4 linked regions of the Drosophila melanogaster genome follow. The protein of the gene in region 1 purifies or fractionates together with the protein of each later gene. This does not show direct contact. Each region holds a gene or a part of one and is shown on either strand. Other genes may lie near its edges. The genes, in order: Prosbeta3, Cyp4g15, CG13319 and PSMG1.

What was found.
Region 2: the proteins of Prosbeta3 (region 1) and Cyp4g15 purify together in Drosophila melanogaster (affinity purification with mass spectrometry, with the first as the bait; one large-scale study listed by BioGRID). This does not show direct contact.
Region 3: the proteins of Prosbeta3 (region 1) and CG13319 purify together in Drosophila melanogaster (affinity purification with mass spectrometry, with the first as the bait; one large-scale study listed by BioGRID). This does not show direct contact.
Region 4: the proteins of Prosbeta3 (region 1) and PSMG1 purify together in Drosophila melanogaster (affinity purification with mass spectrometry, with the first as the bait; one large-scale study listed by BioGRID). This does not show direct contact.

The regions. Positions count from the first base shown.
Region 1 is NT_033777.3:9,003,880-9,008,311, reverse strand, and holds Prosbeta3 (proteasome beta3 subunit), read left to right. Parts: upstream 1-2,085; 5' UTR 2,086-2,240; coding exon 2,241-2,858; 3' UTR 2,859-2,999; downstream 3,000-4,432. Other genes in the region: Iru (iruka), read right to left, coding at 456-1,598; CG11980 (uncharacterized protein), read right to left, coding at 3,062-3,803, 3,861-4,173, 4,237-4,261. UniProt on the Drosophila melanogaster protein: Non-catalytic component of the proteasome, a multicatalytic proteinase complex which is characterized by its ability to cleave peptides with Arg, Phe, Tyr, Leu, and Glu adjacent to the leaving group at neutral or slightly basic pH.
Region 2 is NC_004354.4:11,473,929-11,483,370, reverse strand, and holds Cyp4g15 (cytochrome P450 4g15), read right to left. Parts: upstream 6,314-9,442; 5' UTR 5,779-6,313; coding exon 5,580-5,778; intron 4,988-5,579; coding exon 4,790-4,987; intron 4,358-4,789; coding exon 4,175-4,357; intron 1,847-4,174; coding exon 1,158-1,846; intron 1,062-1,157; coding exon 770-1,061; intron 674-769; coding exon 510-673; 3' UTR 138-509; downstream 1-137. Other genes in the region: CG43155 (uncharacterized protein), read right to left, coding at 7,297-7,452, 7,514-7,606, 7,669-7,784, 7,840-8,031, 8,343-8,492, 8,958-9,081, 9,144-9,305. UniProt on the Drosophila melanogaster protein: Probably involved in steroid hormones biosynthesis.
Region 3 is NT_033778.4:12,921,579-12,925,965, forward strand, and holds CG13319 (uncharacterized protein), read left to right. Parts: upstream 1-2,325; 5' UTR 2,326-2,370; coding exon 2,371-2,769; 3' UTR 2,770-2,773; intron 2,774-2,843; 3' UTR 2,844-3,086; downstream 3,087-4,387. Other genes in the region: NAT1, read left to right, coding at 1-1,232, 1,301-1,479.
Region 4 is NT_033777.3:5,792,206-5,796,920, reverse strand, and holds PSMG1 (proteasome assembly chaperone 1), read left to right. Parts: upstream 1-2,603; 5' UTR 2,604-2,698; coding exon 2,699-2,799; intron 2,800-2,852; coding exon 2,853-3,280; intron 3,281-3,344; coding exon 3,345-3,523; 3' UTR 3,524-3,598; downstream 3,599-4,715. Other genes in the region: CG10979 (uncharacterized protein), read right to left, coding at 1-492, 863-1,010, 1,081-1,543, 1,626-1,772, 1,881-2,036; Hpf1 (histone PARylation factor 1), read right to left, coding at 3,599-4,715.

The sequences.
Region 1 (4,432 bases):
AAACAAAAACACCGTTTACTTGTTGTCAATAAAGTTTAAGAATAATATCAAGTTTGAAGTCTAGACTACAATAGATGTTTATTTTAGAAAGTATTTTAATTTTACACGTTCGAGCTGCATGTTATTGAAATAATTCATTAAAGGAATTTCTTGAGGCAAGCACAGAGTCAGTTCCTATTTTGATTATGTAAATATACACGACACGCATATATGTACAATACAAGTTCCATTACAAAGAAAAATAAGCAACTACGCGATACGATAAACGAGAGTTGATTTTTGCAGAGCCAACGGAATCGTATGTCCCGTTTTGTTTATTACAAATCGTTATTTTGAACAACAACAAAATTAAGCGTGAGGAGAAACTATTATAAATATATATGCGGCCAATATTTGGCTTAATTTTGAATATCAATCGATCATCGCTCCACTTCGATTTAGCATCGCCCTACCAGCTAGTCCAGAAACATGTTGTCGTCGTCAAAGGTAAAGATGTTGTTGCGTGCTGCCTGGGCGGGATTAGCATCCGGACGTGTTCGGCCGCCTTCCGCCGCTGCCTGACTGGGATTATTAGCCGGCGAGGGATTGTCCGTTCCTGTGGCGGTGCTGGCCGATCTCCTTTCGGAATTACTGCCATCGGCCGCCATCTCTGGTCCGAAGGCATCGAGCATGACAAATTCGTCGTCCGCATCGTTGCCATCGTCTGCCAGTGACTTGCGGCATATGGGGCAGGTGCTGTGCAGGTTTAGCCAAGGCACGATGCAGTTCTCGTGATACAGGTGCGAGCAGGGCAGCTTGCGTACCGTCTCGTCAATCTTGAAGTCGTCCCAGCATATAGAGCACTGGATCTTGCGGTTTACCTCCTCGGCATTGATCTGCACATTGGGTATCTCGTTTATGCGCTGCGCCGACAATGGCGGCGGTCCTGAAGTTTCCATTTGGTTGAGCATTTGGGTGACAATGGTGTCTAGTCCCTCTCGGCCCCACGCATAATCTCCCGGGTTTCCCATGAAGAACATGTGCGAGTTACCGCCGCCGCCTACACCTCCTCCACCGGGTCCAGTTACTATTTCGGCCGTGGCGCCGGCCAGTGGCAGGCTCTGCAGAAAATCAAAGAGAACATTGTCCAGTCGGTCCAAATTTGCCGGACGCACTCGTCCGCCGGCGGTCAGGCCGCGGGCAGAGTCACTACCCGAGGGACCACCAAAGCCGCCTAGATGCAGCACGTTGCTGTGCCGTCTGTTTGGCTCGATGGTAATTTCCAAGTTGGGCACATTCCGCATGTTTAGCAGCGACACAATATCGTTACGCAGCGACTCAACATTCACCTGAGATCCGCTCGATGAGCTGCCTCTGCTCAGGGTGTCGTGTGAGCCAGAAGAGCCACTACCGCTGCTTCCGGATCTGGCACTGCCGGATGCTCCAGCCGTCGAAGAATCCATCTCCGGCGCATTTGCCGGCAGCTCCTCCACGAAACCGTTGGCGCACAGCGGACAGGTGAAGTCTGAGTTGGGAATGTTGATCTCCACGTTGCACATGTGGCAGAAGAATCGCTTGGCTTCCGCGGGGCGGTCCTCCACAACCATTGCCTCTGCCATCCTGCGGTAGGTTCTTTATTTCCTGGGCAACGGCTCCACTGACGATTGTGCAAGACTGTCGCCTTCCGATGATGTAGGCTGCTTGCGGCTGTAGACGTTGATGTGACAAGAGGAGGACAAGGTACACGCGCCTAGCTTTACCCGGTCATTGGGTTCAGTCGGAACAATTGGGAGTTTAAGGGATAGAATTTAATTTTTCTATAAATAAGGGCCCCTTACAAAGTGGCCTTTGCCGCAGAGGAGAATAAATCCCAACTGATTGACGCGGCCTGGTCACACTGAAAGCTAATACTGGCATATTAACATTTGGATCTTTTATTACTTCAAAAGGATCCAAATGATAAGAAAAATGCGTTTTAACATTCGCGGAGATATTTTTGCATTTTTAAACATTTTATAACTTTAACTTGTGTTTAAAAATACTAATACTTAAAAAATACTTAAAAAACGCGATTCTTTTTGAAATCTCTTTAGTAGGCGTTGCCAGTTCTATACAGCCAGTCAGTATTAGCCCATCTTACACTCGCAGTCTGGCAACGCAGAGCAGAAACAAAAAGTCATCTTCCCAGGCGGCTTTTAGCATTTTGCAAAATTTCCATTTTTCTGCTGATTAAATTGAGCTAAGCGAATAGCAACGACACCATGTCGATTCTAGCCTACAACGGAGGATGTGTAGTGGCCATGCGCGGAAAGGACTGCGTGGCGATTGCCACGGATCACCGATTCGGCATTCAGGCTCAGACGATCTCCACGGACTTCAAGAAGGTGTTCCACATCGGCCCACGGATGTTCCTCGGGCTCACAGGCCTGCAGACGGACATCCTTACTGTTCGCGATCGCCTGATGTTCCGCAAGAATCTGTACGAGACACGCGAAAACCGTGAAATGTGTCCCAAGCCCTTCTCGGCCATGATGTCCAGCTTTCTGTACGAGCACCGCTTTGGCCCGTACTTCATTGAGCCGGTCGTTGCTGGCCTGGATCCCAAGACCATGGAGCCTTTTATCTGCAACATGGACCTGATCGGCTGCCCCAACGCACCCGATGACTTCGTTGTGGCCGGCACCTGTGCGGAGCAATTGTATGGCATGTGCGAAACCCTGTGGAAACCCGATCTCGAGCCGGACCAGCTGTTTGAGGTCATCGCCCAGTCCATTGTGAACGCATTCGATCGCGACGCCATGAGCGGTTGGGGTGCCACCGTCTACATTATCGAGAAGGACAAGATCACGGAGCGCACACTGAAGACCCGCATGGACTAGATGATGTTAGAGGTTCCCTTGGTGATTTTGTATACATTAACCGAAATACACATACAAATAAAATTTGTTTAGGTACAACATGTGCGTATTTCTTTTCCGTATAACGTAATAACACCAGAATTAAATGCGTAATAACACCAGAATTAAATGCGATCTAATTATTGTTTTTCAATTTCAAAAGCATAACTTTAAGTCGTATTATATTATTGCTCTTCTGTCCACTCGGTGGATTTCTTGGCCAACAACATGGCAGCCTCCTCGGTTTTTGCCCCGCCAATAAATCCTGTGTGATGGATGAATTCGAGATCTTTGATGCTCGCCTTATCGCATAGTTCATCGTCCATCAGTCCGCGCCAAGGAGTGGGCAGAAATTTGCGGCCCAGATAGCTGCCAGGCGTCACTGGAACTCCGGCCACTCGCCAACTATTGCCGCTGTTGAAGACGACCAGCTTGGGCACACCCTCCACCTTGTACTCCTTTTCAAGATCGAACAGATGAGACTTCCAGGGGCAGAAATTCTTCAACACAAGAATCTCGCCGGTGGGATGGACGTTCTTGGCATTTTTAAGAGCCTCTCGTACGTGATCCCGGGCTGGAATCCAGGAACATGATACCTCCACAACGTTGTCCACAAACTCACGACCTGCAGTATCCATCGCCTGTCTGAATCGGTCTTCGATGTCTACGCCAGTTTCCTGCCAGGACGGATTCAGTTTGGCAATGCGGGCAGATAGATGAGTGGAGATTTTGTATATAGGCTCAACGCCCTCGAACATGGGCACTCCATTATCAATTGCGTCCAGTTCGTTGATAAAATTCCTATAGATCTGAATAAAGGCCGTTTGCAGGTTTTCCGGTGAGAGTTTAATTCCCTTTTCGCGCTGCAGGATGCTCTGTATAACACGCTCGCCATAGTGACAGTAGACCAGTCCAGCACTGCTTAGCCTGGAGGGGATTACATTGGATTATACGGGTTCATTTACGCTAACACCACGAATTCACCTGACAACGTTGTAGTCCTCGCTTACATCTGGGCGAACGGAACTAAAAGTCTCCTTGAAGGTTATTTGGTGGTGATCGTACAATTTCTTGGCATGATCATAAACGCCGCCCACGTCGACAATTATATCGCACTTCTCCTTCAAAGCCTTGTTGTCCCGACTGCGGAAAATCTCTGCGTTTTTGTACTCATCCAATTGCTTGAGCATAAAACATGCGACCAACTCGTCGCAGTGAAAAGTGCCGCTGTGTGTGCCGATCCAAAGGGGAGAGCGTTTTGGTGGGGTAACTCCAGTCATTATAGATAGTTTTCCTGCTTCAAAACATTCAGTTAAGCCCAGATATTTCAATTAATTTCGGATTGTAACCAAAAACTTACGAAAACGAGGTAACAATCGGAACATTAGCGACGGTCTTTTCCTCCATTTAATATCGATATCACAAGTTTTTATAACTTGATATGGCAACACGCGTTCAGCTTAAATATATAAAAACTGCAGCGTGGCAGCACTGGTAACGGTTTTTTAAGCCGCAAACAATTAACAACATTTTAATTAAATACGTTTTATAGGCAA
Region 2 (9,442 bases), on another chromosome or scaffold:
TTAAGACGCATAAAATAGAAGACGAGTAATAACAGCAACCAAATGGCTGTCAACTCCATTTGCTGTATGAAAACATTTAAATTTCCCACTAAAATCCATTTGTATAATTACACAAAAGATTTATTGTCAAAATCATTACACACAAATAGGTATTATAATTATTAAATAACCAAAAAAAAAAAAGAGGAGTAGAACAATTAAAGGAAGATGACGATAGTTGTGGTTGCTTTTTGTGTTAAATGCGTCAAAAAAATAATCATTATACTATTCAATAAATCGAGTGTGGGAGCACGTTTATTATTATTTAATATTATCAATATTACTGTATAAACCGGTGACTATCACTTGCCAACAAGTGGAGTTATATGTATGGATAAGTGTCCGTTCTGTGTAGCTTATTGTTTGCGGTGTACGGTGTATGGTGTGCTGCCCGCCTGTTCCGCCTGCCCCACCCGCTCCACCTGGTCCACCTGGTTCGCCTAGCTGATGTTCGTCGCGGCCACCGGGGTTCAACTGGTCCGCGGCTGGAGGCGCACGCGGAATCCCTCCTCACGCTTTAGGATGATGTCCGCCTGCAGTTTGAAGTCCGATTCGGTCAGGTCCGAGTAGACACGGTAGTTCCGCAAAATGGTCGACAGTAGGATCTTCAGCTTGAGCATCGCATACTTGCGCCCTAAAAAAATAATTATAATAAATGAAACAAAACATTATTCATATAGACGATCCGAATATTCACATAATTTGCTTCAGTGTTATATCTGCAACTCACCCACACAGCTGCGTGGTCCCGCAGAGAACGGCACAAAGGCGTAGTAGTGGCGATTGGCCTGGCGCTCCGGCAGGAAGTTGTCCGGATCGAAGACGTTGGGATTGGCGTAGACCTTCGGATTGCGATGGAGCAGGACGGTGGCCACCGTCACCGTGGCGCCCCTGGGAATCACGTAGTTGCCCGAGTTCAGCTTGAGATCCTCCTGCAGCTCGCGGGCGATCAATGGAACGGGTGGGTACATGCGCAGCGTCTCCATCAGACACCGCTCCAGATACTTCATCTCCAGTGTGTCCTGCAATCGGAATGCGGACATTTTAAGCGGTTAACGTTCAACATTCAAGAATATAACTAACTAACTATGGTGATGTGTGCGGCATTAGTTACCCACCTGAAATGTGGCCGGTCGCTGGGAGTCGCCAAAAATGGAGTCGAGTTCGGCCAGTACGCGATCCTGGATGTCCTGGTGGATGCCCATCAGCGAGAGAAAGAACGAGGAGCCGGCTGCCGTGGTGTCGTGTCCCTCGAACATGATCGTGTCCACCTGCTCCTTAATTTCCGTGTCCGTAATGAGTGCTCCATTCTGTGCACTTTCGAGCATCAAATCAAGGAAGGCCAGCCGCTTCTTCTCACCAATATCATTGTCCTCCACATCCAGGTCATCCTTGAGACCAGCCGACTGTCCATAGGACAGTCCCGCCACCGGACTGGCCTTCTCCTTATCCTTCTCCCGATCCTTCTCATCGCTGCCAGCTGTTGATGGGGTCTGGTCAACACCACCATTCTGTTCCCGTTCCCGCTCTAAGGCGGCTGCCTTCAGCTCGCACTGGGCAAGGGATCCACGGGTGCCCTGCTCAAAGGCCGCCTTCTTGCTGCGGATCACCTTGGTGGTCAGGCCGTGGATGATGTTCAGCAGGCGACCCTGCTCCTTGTAGTAGCGCGTCAGGGTGAACACGAACTCGTTGCGCAGAAAGATGCTCCGATGGCGGGCGTGAAGGATGTCGCACATCCGCATCACGGCCATCGCATACTCGAATCCCGATTTGTCCTGCGTTTTCTTCGACACACCCATCGCAGTCTCTGGAATTGCCAAAATGTAGCACCCAGAAAGGTGTGTATTTATACAAGTAGGTTTAGATTGTGATTATATTAAATAATAACTAAAAGGAAGTATAAGTATAACCTCAATATCCCATCACATTCGAATCGTACTTTTCCTTTCAGTGCAGAGACTCGTATCTGGATTTGAAGAGCAGATTGCGATCGAGATCGGATGCGAGGAGATCGGATAGAATGAGATGAGTTGGCAAGGGATGGCATGTGGATGTAGATGGGATGGACCCCCAGCACAAATGGGGGGAAGTGGAATGCACTCGCCTGACCCAAGCGCCAATTGAACTTAACAAACAGACAACAGGCGGCGGAGGTAGCCCCCGGATTCCCCGCCAGCTCACCATCCATCCACCGCCTGTCTAATTGTAGATACAATGCATAAATAGATCTATAGATGACAGCATAAACGAGCTTACGGACAAATCCGCTTCGTGTGTACAATCATGTGTGTTTTTGTGCTGTGGGAAAACTGCGAGCGTGGAATTTGGCATTTTTTTTTTTTTTTTTTTTTTTGATAAGTTCTCGATTGCCAATCACAGTGAATCACGGTCTATAACTGGAATTAAACTAAAGGAAAGTGACAGTGCAATCTGAAAACGATTTGAAAGATTCAAGTTGCAAATGAGATAGGTCAGTAAATTTGAATAGGTTCGTGTAAATAGCATATCTAAAAATTAAACTGCTAAATTTGAGTTTTGCTCGTGCGGAAAAGGAATACGAAAATCTGGCTTATGCAATGACACATTTGAGTTTTTCCTGTGGAAACTCGCCCGGATTTTCATTCGCATTTCGCTTGGCATTTGGGTTCGTTTCGTTGAGTTCTTAATTGCTAATTGCCCGTTTGCGTCAGACCCAGACCCCATACCCCAGACTAATAATCGCCGTGAACAACAACCTCAGTCGTTGCATTCAAATTTTCCTTATTAAATGCTTAATGGCAGTGCGACGTGGCTTTAATTGCACTACTGACTGCGAATCCCGCATTCGTTGCGTTGCATTTTCATTCGCTGCATTTCGGTTCGGTTTGGTTCGGTTCGGTTCGCCTCGGTTCCATCACATCACATTACATCGTATCCAATCCAATCCAATCCAATCCAAGGCAATTGAATTCTGCAATCTTGGCTGCATTTCAATTGTGCAGGGCTCGGATTATTATGCAATGGCCTACAAATCAATCCCAAATCGGCCGAGCACTACGAGCTCCACAATGTCATTAACATTGGCCACCAGCCAATTTTGTCTAGGCTCTTGCCGGTTTCACTTTTCACTCCAGGCCCAAAACGTGTCTGGCTTTAAGCGAATTGCCATCTGGGTGCCATTGGTATGATGATAAACAAGACCATTTGGGTGGGCCAAAACCTATAGGTATTACCTTAACCTGCATCTAGAAATATGAGGTTGTTTATTGCTGATAGAACTTGGATCTTTCAGATATCTCGGTGTAATATTCCCATTAAACTGAAACTGAAACTATTGTTAAGCTTCTATAAAGCTTAAATATGGAGGACATACAATATTTGTATATGCCATATGTTTTTGCTATAACTTTCAAATTCCCAAATAAATTTGTCCTACTTTGAGCTACAATAGTTATGTTTTGAATATGCTGTAAATTTACTCTATATAAGATATCGATTATCTTTTTAACTGATCTTCGATTGTTTGTTTTAACTTAGTAAGAACCCCTACTTATGGAATTTTCATAACCAAGCAACATGATCGTTTGGGGTACAAATCCAACCAGTTTGCATCAGTTTGGCATAATTCGGTTAAATCTGGGGGCTGGGATTTGAAATATATATATACATATATATATCTATATATATATATATCTTTATATGCAAAAGCACATGTATGTATATGCTCATTTGCTCCCATTGTGGGGCCACAACAAAAGCGGCAAATTTTTGATTTGCCAGTATATAGGGAAATGGGTCTGCACTCAATTGTGTGTGGCATACAATATAATGTGTCCATATCCACGGCGTTTCTAGCGGGGATTAGGTGGCTTGGGCGCACGCATATAACTGAAATGATGATGATGATGCTGGATTGTATGCTCATGGTATGCTATAGTATCGTATCGTACTGCGTGGTATGATGGTATGTCATGGAATGGTATGGGTATTTCGGATGATCGTTGCGATTGCGAGTGCGTGTGGGTTGACTGTACTTTAGTGTAATCATAGTATGGCTATCTCTATCCCCATATCCGTATATCGCACCTATCTGTATCTGTATATCTGTATATGAATGTATCTGTACATCCATCTATCTGTATATCTGTTCACTTACCCAATAGAATCTCCACGGTTGCCTCGCTCATGTAATCATGGCAATCAAAAGTGCGACCATCCTCCGCACGCAGTTTCCTCACCACATTACGCGAGTTCTCGTTGAACAACTCGATGAAGCTCTTCAAGACATTCAGATGGAATGTGGGTGCAATCAGTTTGCGGTGCGATCGCCATTTTTGACCTGCAACAATAGATGGAGCGGGAATGTAGAACCGATCGTACATACAAGATATTCTTACAAAAAAAAAAAAACCAAAAAAAAATTGGACATTACATTACAAATTTGTTCATGATTATCACTCAAGCTAATAAATAATAGTACTTTTTTCTTACATGTCTGTCTAAATTGAAAATCATCATGTGTAATATTATTTATCATATTATCATTTTGAACTTATTACATTTGAAATTGGTATATCTTCAGTGCAAACGACTGTGCATTTTTTTTCCGTGACTTTTCTGCGACGTTGATTTTATTTATAGCGGCATTGTTGTGCCAACTGTCAGGCTAGCGGATCGCTTAATTAATTTATGATTTCGCAAATTGCATTAGTGGCAAGTGGACACCACCCCTTAAATGTGGGAGGCTTTCCCCCTCAAAACCCCACCTCACCTGTGCTGATCAGCAGTCCGTCGCCCAGCCAGGGCTTGAAGAACTTGTACTCGGATGCCTTGTCGATGTAGACATGGCTGCTCAGCAGCAACTCCACGTCCCGCGGATCGTAGATGAAGACCACCAGCTTGGGCCCGATCCACATCTTGGCTATGTGCTCGAAAGGGGCGCTTTTGCGGATGACTGTTCGGAAAACAGCTGCGGGGATACACGGATTAATTTGGGGGATCAATTCAAAACCACGATTAATTTTTGAAAAGGATAATTAGTGCTCTAGTATGTGTTATATTTTAAAAGTCAGAAATAAGTTCTTTCTTAAAATAAAAAGGAGAAGAATTTTCATTTCACTATTATTCGGAAACTTTATTCCAAGTGACTAAAAACTAATAATCAATGTTTAAAATTTTGGAAAATGCATGATAATTACTTTTAAATCAGAATTAAAGTTTCGTTTGAAGTAGAACTTCAAATAAATGTGTGTACTTTCAGAAGTGTTTTAAAAAGATTTCAAACGAGTATTATATTTTAAGTTTCAAAAATGCTTTTCTTTAAGTTTAAAGTTTGTTCCAAATTGATTTCTCAATAGCAGCAGGATTTCTTTTGAAATGTATTGAAAATTAAATATTTTTATGTGATTTGAATTCAATTCGGAGTTTGCCTGATAATCCGTATTTAAAACTGGTTATCCTCGTTTTTTTTTTTTCACTGGCTGCTTAACCCTTATGCCTGCTAAGGGGCTATGTCGCACCCTTTCCCGCGAAAAAAATGGCACTTAGTCTAGTGGATTTACATGAAGCGGGTCCAATCACATCGAACAGATGACCCACGATGGGCAGTCCCCGTGGTCCCGGCAGTCGTCCGGCCAACCTGTACAGGTGAGCCCGCGATAATCGCCAGTAGATGTACCAAAGCACCAGCGTGGGCAGCAGCAGGAAGTAGAAGACGCTGCTGGGTGAGCCCAGGGCGGCGTCCTTCTTCAGCACCTCCATTGCTTGTCGGGATCCTCTTTCTCTTGCTCTCTCTCTCACACACTCTCCCCCTCTCTCTCACTCTCTCTCTCTCTCTCTCTGTTTCGATCGGTCAACAATGTTCACCAGGTCACAGAAAAAACACCAAAACAAAAAAGAAAACCAATCGATCGGCGCACGCACACTTCCCACACAGTACACACGGATCGATCAGCTATCCATGGGCTGGGTTGGATTGGGTTTTGCGGATCGGATCGGATCGGATCGGATAGGATCGTATCGGATCGGTGGACCGGATGTTACTCGCTGCTCGGCCAGCGCACAACTAAACGGTGACAGCCCCTCGCCGAGGCAACCAGCGCGAAATGATCGCGTATATCAACCCACACACAGGGGATGCGATGCGATGGAATGGGATGGGAACGGAGCGATGCGAAGAGGATCGGACCGGATCGGATGGCGGAGTTACGGACTCGGAATCGGCTGGATATGTGTATAAATTAGATACGTTGGACCCGCACTCGCACTCCTCGCGCCTCTTTTCCAGCGACTAGACAGCGGCGACGGTGCGAACGACTTTTATAGCCAACAATGTGCAGCATATGTGCACTGCGAACAAAAATTGTGCACTCAGCTCGCAAGCAAATGCGACGGCTTGTTAAAAGTTGCGCAATTACTAACTTAAATATTTAACAAAAATATTCTAGAATCCTTTTGTTGTTCAATTCATATGCATATATTTCCATGTGGCATACCCTTCGAATTTTTCATGATCTGAGCACGAATGGTGGCAACTTTTCTCACAGTGCTCGAGTAAATAACTGCGGTATGGAATTGGGGTGGTTCTCTGTAGAATTGGATCATGTGAATCGGAACTCAGGTCTTCTCTAAGCTCATCCCGGTGAAAGTTCCATTCGTCACGAGAATTGAGCTTCAAAACCGAGTGACGAAATTAGCCAAAGCTTTTGAGCAGAAAAACGAATGATCAAAGTGAAAAATCATTTCGATATGTATCTCTTGGGTTAAAAACGCTTGCAGATTGTTGAAGTCTTTTTCTTGGTTTATTTTTAAGATGACATTTATGCATGGTATGGACAAGAGTTACGATTAAGATTACGAATAACCTAAGCTACCTCATACGGTTAGAATTACTCAAAAAAAAAAAGATTTTCTATTACTATAGATATTAAATCACCTGCCGTGCTTTGCATGTGTGTGTGTCTGTGTGTGTGTGTGTGTGTGTGTGTGTGTAAGAGTGACCTCAGTACGTATGAGCAATATTATTGCCTAGACATTTGACTATATAATAGCTATAAGTACGGACACTAACTTATGGAAGTCTGGCAGTGCTACAGTAGCCAGTGTCCACTGTAACATGTGGTTTACGATCGGCAGCCTAACTACAATTGATATTTCGCTTGATATATGTATATATATATTTTTTTTTTGCTTTTCTGCCTGCTCGCCCAAAACTATGCAGCACTTTTTTCATCGATGGAAGCTCAATCTCGCTGTCTGGTTTCTATCCCTCCTTTCCGTCTAAACGGACGACTCGTATATGACGATCTGCAGGACCTTCGGCTTGTTGTTCTGCGCCTCCTTCACCTCCTTCAAAATGGCATTCGTGATGGCTTCCAGGGCCGCAATATCGGGACTGTGCTCATTCTTCTTACTATTCCATTTGGGCATGGACACCTGGTGGTAAACCTTCATTTAGTATCGTATGTTTGTGTTTATTTTGTGAGAATCATCATACCGTAAGCACCTTCTGCAGGGCTGTATAATCGAGGCCCGTGCCGGCTGTTTCGCCCAAGCGACGCAGAGTCTCCGCCATGGGACCAGATAGCTCCTGGAAAATAGTTAAATTTGGTAAATAATACAATAAAAATAGTGTATACTTGTAGAACCCACCTGCAGCTTGGCCCAACTGGTGGCATATTGCCTTCGCACCAGCTCAATGATGGTCGATGTCAGGGCCAGGCCAATAAGAATATACAATGTGCACAGTAGCATGTAGTTGGGTTTCTCTGAAGAGTATGGCAAAATGAAGTAAATACACACTTGGGTGCTCCAACAACCTACTTGGCACCAAATCACCGAATCCGATGGTTGTCATGGTGATGAAACAAAAGTAGAAGCCATCGAAGAATGTCCAATCATCTTCCCAAAGCAGGAGTAGACCAGCTCCAGCGGCCAAGTAAACGCCCAGAAAGCCGACGGCCAAAATGGCATAGAACCAGGTTTTGCCAATAAAGTTGGTAAACTTTGGTTTCGCTAGGGTGTTTAAATAATAACATATGCATTAATATTATTAATAAAGTATTCATTCAGCTGCAGCGTCTTCACGCATCATTGCAATAATTACACAAATGAAATATGCTCACAAAACCAACGGTGCGTATGCGCAATGCTTTTCAATGCAGTCGCATTATTAACGCTCATACGCACTGTGTACGATTGTGTTTTTATGCCTATGTTATTATTGTATATTACCATTTAATTATCACATTAATTGGGAATTGTTTTTGGCTAAGCACTCTACATACATATTTTCAGTTGGTTTTTAATATGTTTTAGTTACTTACTGGGCATATGTTTGCCAAAAACAGAGACTGCGGTAGCAAACAGTCGACCCCAATCGGCAATCACGGTGAGGGTGAACGGGATGCCGATGAGGGCGAAGCAAATGCAAAACACCCGACCACCGGTCGTCACTGGCACAATATTGCCATAGCCTGAAATAGTTGAATAACAATAGAAATTCATTACTTTAATCAGGCTTACAGAAAATATTCACATTTTTGGCCACAACATTGGAAATAATGGTCCAAATATGGATTGTTATACCTCGTTGAGTTCGTATTTAAAATTCTAAACAAACTGTGTTTAAAATTTGGAATTTTAATTTTTCGCCATTTTTCGCAAATTTTGATGATGTTACCCCTTACCGAAAATGCGAAAATCGACCCAAAAATTAATTTTTCAAAAACCGTCAAAAAGTCTTAGGGATAGTTAGTAGTGGTAATTATCTGCACAAAACAGTAATTCCTGCTCTTATATGACCATTTTAAGATAAGTTATGAGAAAAACACTCTTTATATTCTTATTGATATGTTATGTTGTTATGGTGTCTTCCATCCCTTGAGTATCTTTTTCGTTATTTGACTTAATTAATGAATAACTTAAGGTGCATCGCTCACCTATGGTGGTTAACACAGTCGATGAGAAGAACACAGCTTGCAGGATGCTCCATCGCTCGTAGGGCTCTGGAAAGTCTTTGTCGGCCACAATGAGTAGCCCTCCCTCAGCCGCCTGTTGAACGGCCTGCAAGATTGGTTTTGTTATCAGTGGTGGTTAGCTTGGGGTTTTTTAAAGGGAATGCCAACCGCTTCGTATTTGGCCAGTTCGAAGGACAACAGCTCGTCGAGATTGTGCACTTCGGTGTTGTTCAATATGGTGTGCAAAAAGCGCTCCCTGTGCGTTTTCACAATATCCTTCAGATGCGAAAGGCGCTCCACTTCCGCAGGACGTTCTAAATGGCGAAATATCTGATGGAAATGTGTAAAAAGTTACTTAATACTTTTAATCTTCAACTAGTAAGTTTACACTAAATAAATAAGATTTATTTGTGGAATGCAGAATAGGTATTTTCCCAGCATTCATACAAACTCATTCAAATTCCGAT
Region 3 (4,387 bases), on another chromosome or scaffold:
CACCTCTTCTTCGCCGAACTTTTCATCAGGAGCGGAGAAGTTGGATTTAGACGGTCAGGCGGGCAGAAAGGGATCGCACGACGGCAAAGATCAGGGCAAGAATGGCTCCGTGGAGAGACCAAGCACTCCGGCCGGCGGTATTGGCTCGGCCAAGCAACAAAAGAAAGATAAGGGTCCCAACAAGGAGGAGCTGTCTAAGAAGGCCAGTCAGTACTTCAAGGATAGGTTCTACTACGATGAGGAGGAGGATGCAGAGGTGACGGAAATTGAGATCAAGGATATTGATGAGACAAAGACGGAGGAGGCCGACGCTGCTCCAGTTGAAGTCTCGGAGGTAAAGGAAGATGCTGCAATACCTGTGACCACTCCAGATCGCTTCACCAAGCTTGTAGATGGTTTCCTCGAGCTTAAGCTGCCAGAGAAGGCGCTGAAGGATGTGTGCATCAATCTGCTGATGGAGGTCTTGGACCGTGTAAACGATGTCTTCTTGGAGCGTGCTGTGCGCCTTCTGCAGACATTGCGCAAGCAATCCAATATCAAGCCGAACATCGTGGTCGAGATTTTCAAGCAGGTGGTCAACAAGATGAACGAGCGAGAGGCACTCAATCCCCGAATCGTTAGTCTTGTAGCCAGCTTGCTGGCAAAGACAATTTGCGAGCCAGCATTGCTGAAGTTAAGCGATATCGCCAACTTCACGGACAATGGCCAACACTATCCGCTGTTCCTGCTCGTGCTGCAGCAACTGGTCAAGGTCATCGGCAAGGATGCGCTGGAAGAGAAATTCCGGGCGAGCAAAGTTGATCTTATGAACAGCCTGCCGGAGGCGGATCGGAACAAGGAGCGCTTGGCCGGGATACTCGAGGATCGCAAGCTTTCTTTCCTTTATCCGCTATTGAAGGTACAGGCCGAGATGCTAAAACAGCTGCAAAGCGACCCGAACCCCAACAACTTCTACAAGTGGATCAAGGCCAACGTTGACAACAAATACTACAAGGACCCGGGCTTTATCCAAGCCCTAATGACCGTGGTGGTCAAGTATGTGACCAAGGAGACGACGCTGGCGGACAACCTCGACCCCAAGGAGCACCCTGAGAAATCGGTGACCCAGAAGGAGCAACAGCTGCTGGAGAACTACAGCCAGATGCTGCAGACCTTCCTGGGACAGAACGAGCTTCAGTTGATGGCTCTCTATGCTCTGCAAACGTTCTGCTACAATGAAAATTTCCCCAAGGGTAAGTGCTCAACATTTTAAATCTAATCTGTTTTATCGGCAACTTATATTTGCTTTTTTCTTCGTTAGGCATGCTGTGCCGTTGGTTCAAGTATCTTTACGAATCTGAAATTATAGAGGAGGAGGCATTCGTCCTGTGGAAGGAGGAGATTTCCGACAAATATCCAGGCAAAGGATCCGCTTTGTTCCAAGTGAACGCCTGGTTGACTTGGCTGCAGGAGGCCGAATCTGAGGACGATGAGGATTAGAAAGCAACGCAGTCCCGCATAATAACAGCGCTATATGTTTATCACTTCCAATATTTATTCACAAATCGATAATGATTACATGATGAAAAACAACAAAACTAACAAAACACGAAAAATAAGAAACAAAATACCATCAGGGTGGAAGTTTGAAATCGCGGTTGCAAAACTTAGTCAAATTATAGTAAAAAAGAAAAACAAAACAAAAAAAATTAATCAAAATTATTTGATATCCAACAAATTCAAAGAACATTAACAATCAATTATCAATAAATAAAGCGCAATAGACGTCAAATATAACCGATATTTATCCATACATCATAATTCTCATTGACATTTCAAGCATAACGAATAATTAGTGAATTTCATCTTTTTTTTTTAACATAACAACCGGAACTGATCTTTAAATCGAATAACGTTGATTTCAATTGCCTTTTTTTGGTACTCTCGACGATTTCCCTTTTGTGTATTTAAATAAGTAGGTCAAATCAAAGCGACAACATTAACATTATAGAAAAGGAAAAACCAATCGACGCGCGCCGAAGAGAGCAAAACAAAATCTGAATGTAATTGTGAACAAAATATCGTATATATGTATTTAACTCAACCAACGTAAACATTAAAAAACTCGCCCACATTAAATAGAGCCTTAATAAATGCAACCAACACTGCGAACGGCGAAATCAAACTGACTTTCATTGGCTTTTGAGGGAGTAATGCAAATTTAAAATCCGCGCCTAAGCTCTGTAATAGCTGCCTATCGATACAATTTTCGATTATTTTGAAAAGCTATCTATGGTCGTTTCGTTATCTGGCAACACCGCTCCGGTCAAACTTGCTATTTCATTGTTTTCCTTGTGAATATTGCTTGTTTATGTATAAAATTCACGACTAATGGATAGCGTTCCTGCGAATGTTGTGCCTGCGAAGGAGTCTGGTGGTTTCACCTCACATTGCGTCCACTTGGCGGCGGGTCCCTCGCAATTCACCGTGCGCGCCCTGAAAATGCAAGGCAGCACCATGCTGATCATAAACCCCAAGGGATTGGAGGTTTTCGAGGAGCTAGCGGTGGCCATGCCCTCTCGCAATCCCGCCAGCAGCCAGTCCCTATCCTCCACAATCCTGGGCGGACACGGGCAGACCGACTCATCTGTTCTGGCCGCCAAATTGAGTAAACGCTACTGCCGCCAGTTCTACGTGAGCCTTAATCTCAAACTGGATCGATTAATGGGCCCTCTGTTCGAGAAGACGCTAGTCACCTACATGCAAGACCATCTGGAGCACTTCGCTTGAGTGGGTACAACAACTTAGTGTGGCATAAATTTAATCCTCAATCGCTGACTTATTTCTGGTTCACGTGCACACAGGGCCCGCCTGCGCTACCGATGACACGGCGCCGCGTGGGGGTCAACGTCTATTTCGGGGACCGGCGGCTACCCCACGGACGCAGCTTCACGTACTCTACGCACTCCATCAGCTAACTATCTGGGATCTCCGATTCCCGATCTCCGCTCAGACGTCATGCGGCGGCCGAGTGAGCACGAACTTTAAACGTGTATCGGTGATACGAATTTTGTACAATAAATTTATTGCCCTAAGTAAGTTTACAGACGCATGTGGGCTTTATCAATTGTGTCGCGATAGCAGTGCTCAATGTAAGAAGAAGTCACCCGCTGTGTGAGTGATCGCGTGCCACCCGCATGCTATTCATGCTGCTGCTTCACCACCCAATGATTTGAAGGTCAGTTTGGCTGCAGTGATGATCGCTTGATAGGTGATTTCCCCGCCATCGTATTAAATTCGAATATACATATGTGTGTGTTCGCATTGCGCCGGTTTGTTCATCAGGCCTCCGTTTCGGTTTCCCTTTCGAATGAATGTTTAGGTTTAGGGAGAAGTTAATATGTAATAATCATTCGGAAGTTTTCCAAATGGGTACCATTTCAGTTTGATCACTGAATACCTCTGACAAATAATATCATTAGATTTGTTTTTATGTTGTTAATTTGAACTATTCGAAAAGTTAGTAGGATACCACTATCAAATGTATGTATTAACTAGCGGGTTTACAATTCACAATGTGATTAACAAGCTTCTAAATTTGTGTGAATAATACTGGTTGAAAATATTATATCTCTTGTTACAGTTCGTTTAGCTTTTGAAAAAATGATATTGGTGATGACTGACTATAGGAACTCTCAACTTTACTAATTACCCACGAGCAAAAAGTTGATGTCACTTCCTGCATGAGTTCCCAATTATAATGATTGCGATATCCAAAATATCCAAGTCACTATTCACTATTTCAGAATGGTTCTATGTCACAGAAAGTCTGCAACTTGAACAGTTTGATACTCAGGTATAGATAGTTGAAGGACCAACGCGACACCTTCATAATGCCCTTTATCTATCGGCATTCTCAGACTGAAAGTTGGCTATACTTCCTGCCCGCCAATCGTAAATATAAATCGGTTGATAAGACGTCTGAATTACCCCCGCCAAGAATGCCAGTCATATTTTTAATGGAACAGCCCCCAGCAGCGTTGTGCTATGGTTGTGTTGGATCACACCGCCTGGAGGTGCCATTGAAACTTTTCCGCTAAACAACCCAATGGGAGGGAGGGAGCAGCAACAAAATGAAAAACACTAATGTACGAAAAAAACAAATTTCGCCTCTCATAATAATGCCCAGTCTAGACGAGATATTGTCAGGCGTATCAGTGGTGGTAACAGCGACAAGAGCATATCGCTCCAAAAAAAAAATAGCAGCACCCATTGAACGGGTATAAAAATAGAGCTTCAGCCGGAAGGTCTGCGCTCCGGGGTCTGTGGGCTCCCACGAATGTCTGGAATGTTTTTTTCCCCCGTTTTTTTTTTTCTGCTTTTGGTTTCCCCAGTTGCCTAATAACTT
Region 4 (4,715 bases), 3.2 Mb from region 1:
TTGCCTAAGTTAAGCTGGTCCAATGACACTGTGTGCAGACCAGGTGCAAATGAGTCGTTCGGCTCTGGTAGATCGGCAAACATCTCATTCAGAGTAATTTCCTCGGTTTTGATCGGTTTTTTTTTCGGCAGGTCTATGGACGTCGTTGGATCCTCATCAGCTGCATCCACACTGGAATCATTGCTCTTCATCTTCAGTTTTTTGACAGAAGGAGCAGGCTTAGCCAGCGCCTCCTGCTTCGCCCGACAATTAAGCAGGTGTGTTGACAAGGCAGCGCGACGCTCGAATGATTTTTCGCAATAGATACACAAAGACATGATCTTACGGTGCTCACCGCTGGCATCTAGTGGCTCAGGGACATAGCCCACCACGTCGTCGGAGAGCTGTAGGCGCTTCAACTCCCGGCAGGGGCCCTTCGGCTGCACATCTCCTTGCTGAATGCGTCGCTTGAGGATAGTGTTCCGCATCATTCGAATACGTCGAGTTGGCTTCCTGAAAAATTAAATTGCAAAAGGACCAACATTAATATTAGTTCACACATTGCATGTATAATTTTTAGAAAAACCACTATCCCTATAAAAATGTATCTGTTATATTTTTATTTATGATTATTAGTTGTTCTGTTTTTATGATTCAGGGCTTAAAAAATTCACATAAATAGAAAGTAAATTAGATTGTTTCCTTGGAAACAATATGATTTTTGACATATACATATATGTATAAGGAATGCAGTATGCAGTAAGCAGATATAAATGGACCATGTGAAAGAAAAAAGGAACCTGTCCCCTTGAAGTAGAATAATATCATATATTTTATAATAATAAAATATAAAAATTCTATGGTCGGGTTAAGTTGAACTTACTTGTGATCCTTCGACAAATGACGAATAACAGCAGCGGCCTGCAGAAAGGTCAGCGAACAGGCTGGGCACTGAAACACAAACGCCGATGATGAGTGATGCTTCTGAATGTGCACCTCAAGCGTTTTGTGCGTCTGAAACGTCAGATTGCCTGTGAACGAGATTAGGAAACACAGCTATCACTAATTGTATTCAAGGCCTATTCGGTTAGGTAGTCGTACAGATCTCGCAGAAAATACTCGGCTCCGTTTCGTCGCTGATGGACTGCTCGCCGGAGTCGCTGCCTGCATTGTTTTCCAGCTTAACGGTTGCCAAGGCCTTGCCGTCGGGTCCCACAATGGTTTCAGATGGATTAAGCATGCGATGCACCTCGTCCAGTTCTGTCCTTATGCTGTCGTCGTGGTCCACTTTGATGGTCTGATAAACAGCCTGGCTAGAGTTGGGCACAGACTCCAGCTGCAGAACAGTGGGCGAGCTGCACTTGGCCTGTGATGTAGCCTTTTCCCGTCGCAGACGCTCTATAACACCACTCAGGTCCCTTATGCCGCCGCCACCTCCTCCTCGTAAGGGACGCACGTCGCGGGGAACAGGCGAGCATCCCGTGCTTCTGCTGCGTAGCATATGTTCAATGTCCTGCGGGGACGGACCACCACCCGTTTGTATGATCATAGTGGAATTCTGATCCTGGGGGAGAATTAACAGCGATTAGTTGACATCCTATGGTATTAGAGACCTTGTAATGGGGTTGTCTTTACTGCCCACTCACTGTGTATCCGCTGCCATTTGCCGAACGAGCGCTGACGCAGCAAAAGACGCGTTTGTGGCTGATGAAATTGGCCAGGCTGCGAAACATGTTGCGGCACACCTTGCACTCGTAGATCAGGCTGCACTCCAGACTGAGCAGCTGGCGCACCTGTGGGAGAATCTGATTGTTATCCGGGGATCCACCAAACTGGGGCGCAGGAGCCTCCGCCATTGCGGGCCACAATTGAGTCACGTACTCCACTCAGATGAGACTCACCTCGCTGGTGCCATCCTCATAGGCCCGACGGGCCTCCTCGAATCCCGTGTGGGCGGTGCGCAGCGGCCGCTGCAGCAGGCTGATGTCGTCACCGTTGTGGTCCATCTGCTCCTCCTTGAAAGTGTCAGAGTTACAACGTGAGCTTCGCTTTCTCATGGCGCTGGTTTGCGCGCTTGCTCCCACTGCTAACCAAAAAATTTGAGACCTGTCCTAGCGCGCTGCCCTACGGAATATTTTCACCGACGTGAGGTTCTTAATCTGTTTCTAATTAGCGATCAAAGTGGTTTTCCAATTCGAATATGGACCTGCATCTTGCATTTTTTGTATTCAGTATGACCGTGCTTGAGCGCTGCTTCTGCTGCGATGCTGATCTGGTATTTTTATTAACCTGTGCGGAATTTTTTGTTTCAACTTAAAAAAAAACGGAAGAGTCGAAAATATTTAATCAGGCAAAACCAATAAGCTGGAACCACATTTGTTTTAATATTCGACTAGAACTAACAATTGAAGTTTGATTTCTCCCTTGCTCAGTGGGCGTAACTTCCATCAATTCTCAAAACCCCCAAACAATATTGTCAATACATAATTTTGGAATTAGCTTATTGTTAAATCTTTAATTGACATGCCAAGCCCTAATAAGTTCAGAAAAAGCGCTAAAAGTTCCTAAATATTACCTGCAAATGTAATTTATTCAAATAGAAAAACGTTTATTTTGGCGTTCAGCACATGGTCACACTGATGACTTGAAAAAAACATAGTGACCGGAATTAGGCTCATCATATTAGTTTCACCTTTTTTATTAAATCAAAACAGACACGATGAGCTGTCCAGGATTTGGAGAACTAAATATACCCTCGTCGCGTGCCTTCTGGGACGACTGCGACGAGGATGAATTGGAGAACCTTAAGCCGGTGGAGAAGTGCGTGATCTAATGTTATTTACGTAGGTAGTCCTAATTTCTTGGATTCGCAGGCTGCAGCTGAAGTTTGATGATGATTGCGATGGGGAAGCTGCCCCTGTGGAGAGCGAGATGCTGGTGGTCATTGAGGGCGTCAACGTCACTCACTTCGCCTCTTCTCTGCTGGAAAAGGATGCAAAGCGTGTGTGCGCCATTCCTGCCAATAACTCGACCCTGCACTGGAGTCATTCGTCCAAACAGTTGCTGGCCATAATCAACGAGGACCTGACCAGTAGCGGCGAGGTAGCGGAGCTCCTACTGCCGTACGTGAAGCTTGCCAAGAAAGTGATCACTCTGACGCTTAAGCCAAAGGTCGAGTTCAAAAGCGAGGACATCCAGCTCTACCGGGATCACATTGCCGTTGTCCGCGGCATAGGTGCCAACCAGAAGGATATCACTGAACTAGAGGCTCCCAACTTTATCGCTGGAGTTGCAGCAGGCGGTGAGTGATGAGTGGAAAAGGAGAAGGTTGAATCACCTCACCATCTGTTCACCTTTTTTTGCAGTTGCCAGTTGGCGGGATCAGATGGAATTGCCTGTTACCTCTTTCGTTATTTACACCGACAAGCTGCCCCTCGACGCCACAGCTGCGCAGCCAGTGATCAAGGTACTTAAAGCCGCGGGCGTTGCCTGCAGCTCGAGCTACATCCCTCCGCGGAAGGAGAGCTCTTATTTGTACATGTGAAACTACTTTTGGCTGTGCTCAACTTCCTAGTTTTAATGCTTGTAAAAATGATACGGTTGCGGAATAAAAATCGAACTACTTAAGTACATCAAAAATGCTGAGGTTGTCCTCCCGACTACGTTGCTCCATGTGCGCCTTGGCGATGGCTATGAACTGTGGACGGGAAAGCATTGAATAGGCGGGTACCAGCAACGATGAGGCAAGCATGTGCAGCTCCTTGTGCCCACTGCAGAACATATCGATGCCTAGTTCCAGGGCGCTTCCAAAGTCCGATTCATCAACTGCTATGTTGGCTGCGTTGGCCACCGGCTGCAGCTTCTCCAGAACCGCCTGCTTGGCGGCTCCATTATCGACGTCCTTCCGCTCAAGCATTGCCAGCATCTTCTTGAGTTCGGAATCGCTGACAGCCAGCGGGCGGTATCCCACTTCTGTCTTCTGGTCAAAGGGCACAACAATGCCGGCTCGGTGGAATGTCTTGGCCACAACACGCTTGTTGCGCTCCCGCTGCAGTCGGTCCAGCTGGGCCAGTTCTAGGGAATTGTCACTCAGGTATTTTGCCACCGCCTTTTTGGTCCCCGCCAACTGCCCGCATGAGAACGGAGTGGCCGCAAAATCGTGCTCCAGGTAGTAGAGGAAAGCATCGAAGGCATTTCCAGCGACGAATTGGAACTGGCAGCCTTTCGCAGAGTCGTTGCGGGCTATTAAGAGATTTTCCTTGTCCTGCGGCACATCGCGCCAGTAACCGTAGTGAATCCCAGTGCCTCGGCGCACGAAGATCGTCTGAAATTCTGGTGGATCGTAGTAAAAACGCCAGTGGCGCAGGTAGTCTCCCGGTTCGCCTAGTTTGGCGCCGTGAAATTTACCGGCTAGGAACTCAAAGGGACCCACCAACTGCAGTTGAAATACTTTGTCTAGGTGCTCCAAGCCAGCATCCTTGGGCTTCGCAGGATCAATTTTTAAGCTTCCCACAAACTTCCAAAATTCGTAGAAGTCCGGCGGCATTTCGACAAGGAACTTGTGTCGAATGAACTCGTTGGACTCGCAGAGATTGTCGTACTCCTTCTGCACGGACAGGCGGATGCGCTTCTCCAAGATCTCCATGTAGTTCTTTCCGGATATGTTGCTCATGGCCTCTTTGTGAAGCTCCTCGGTTTCGGCTTCATAACTGCCCTTGGCTGTATCCTTGTTCACC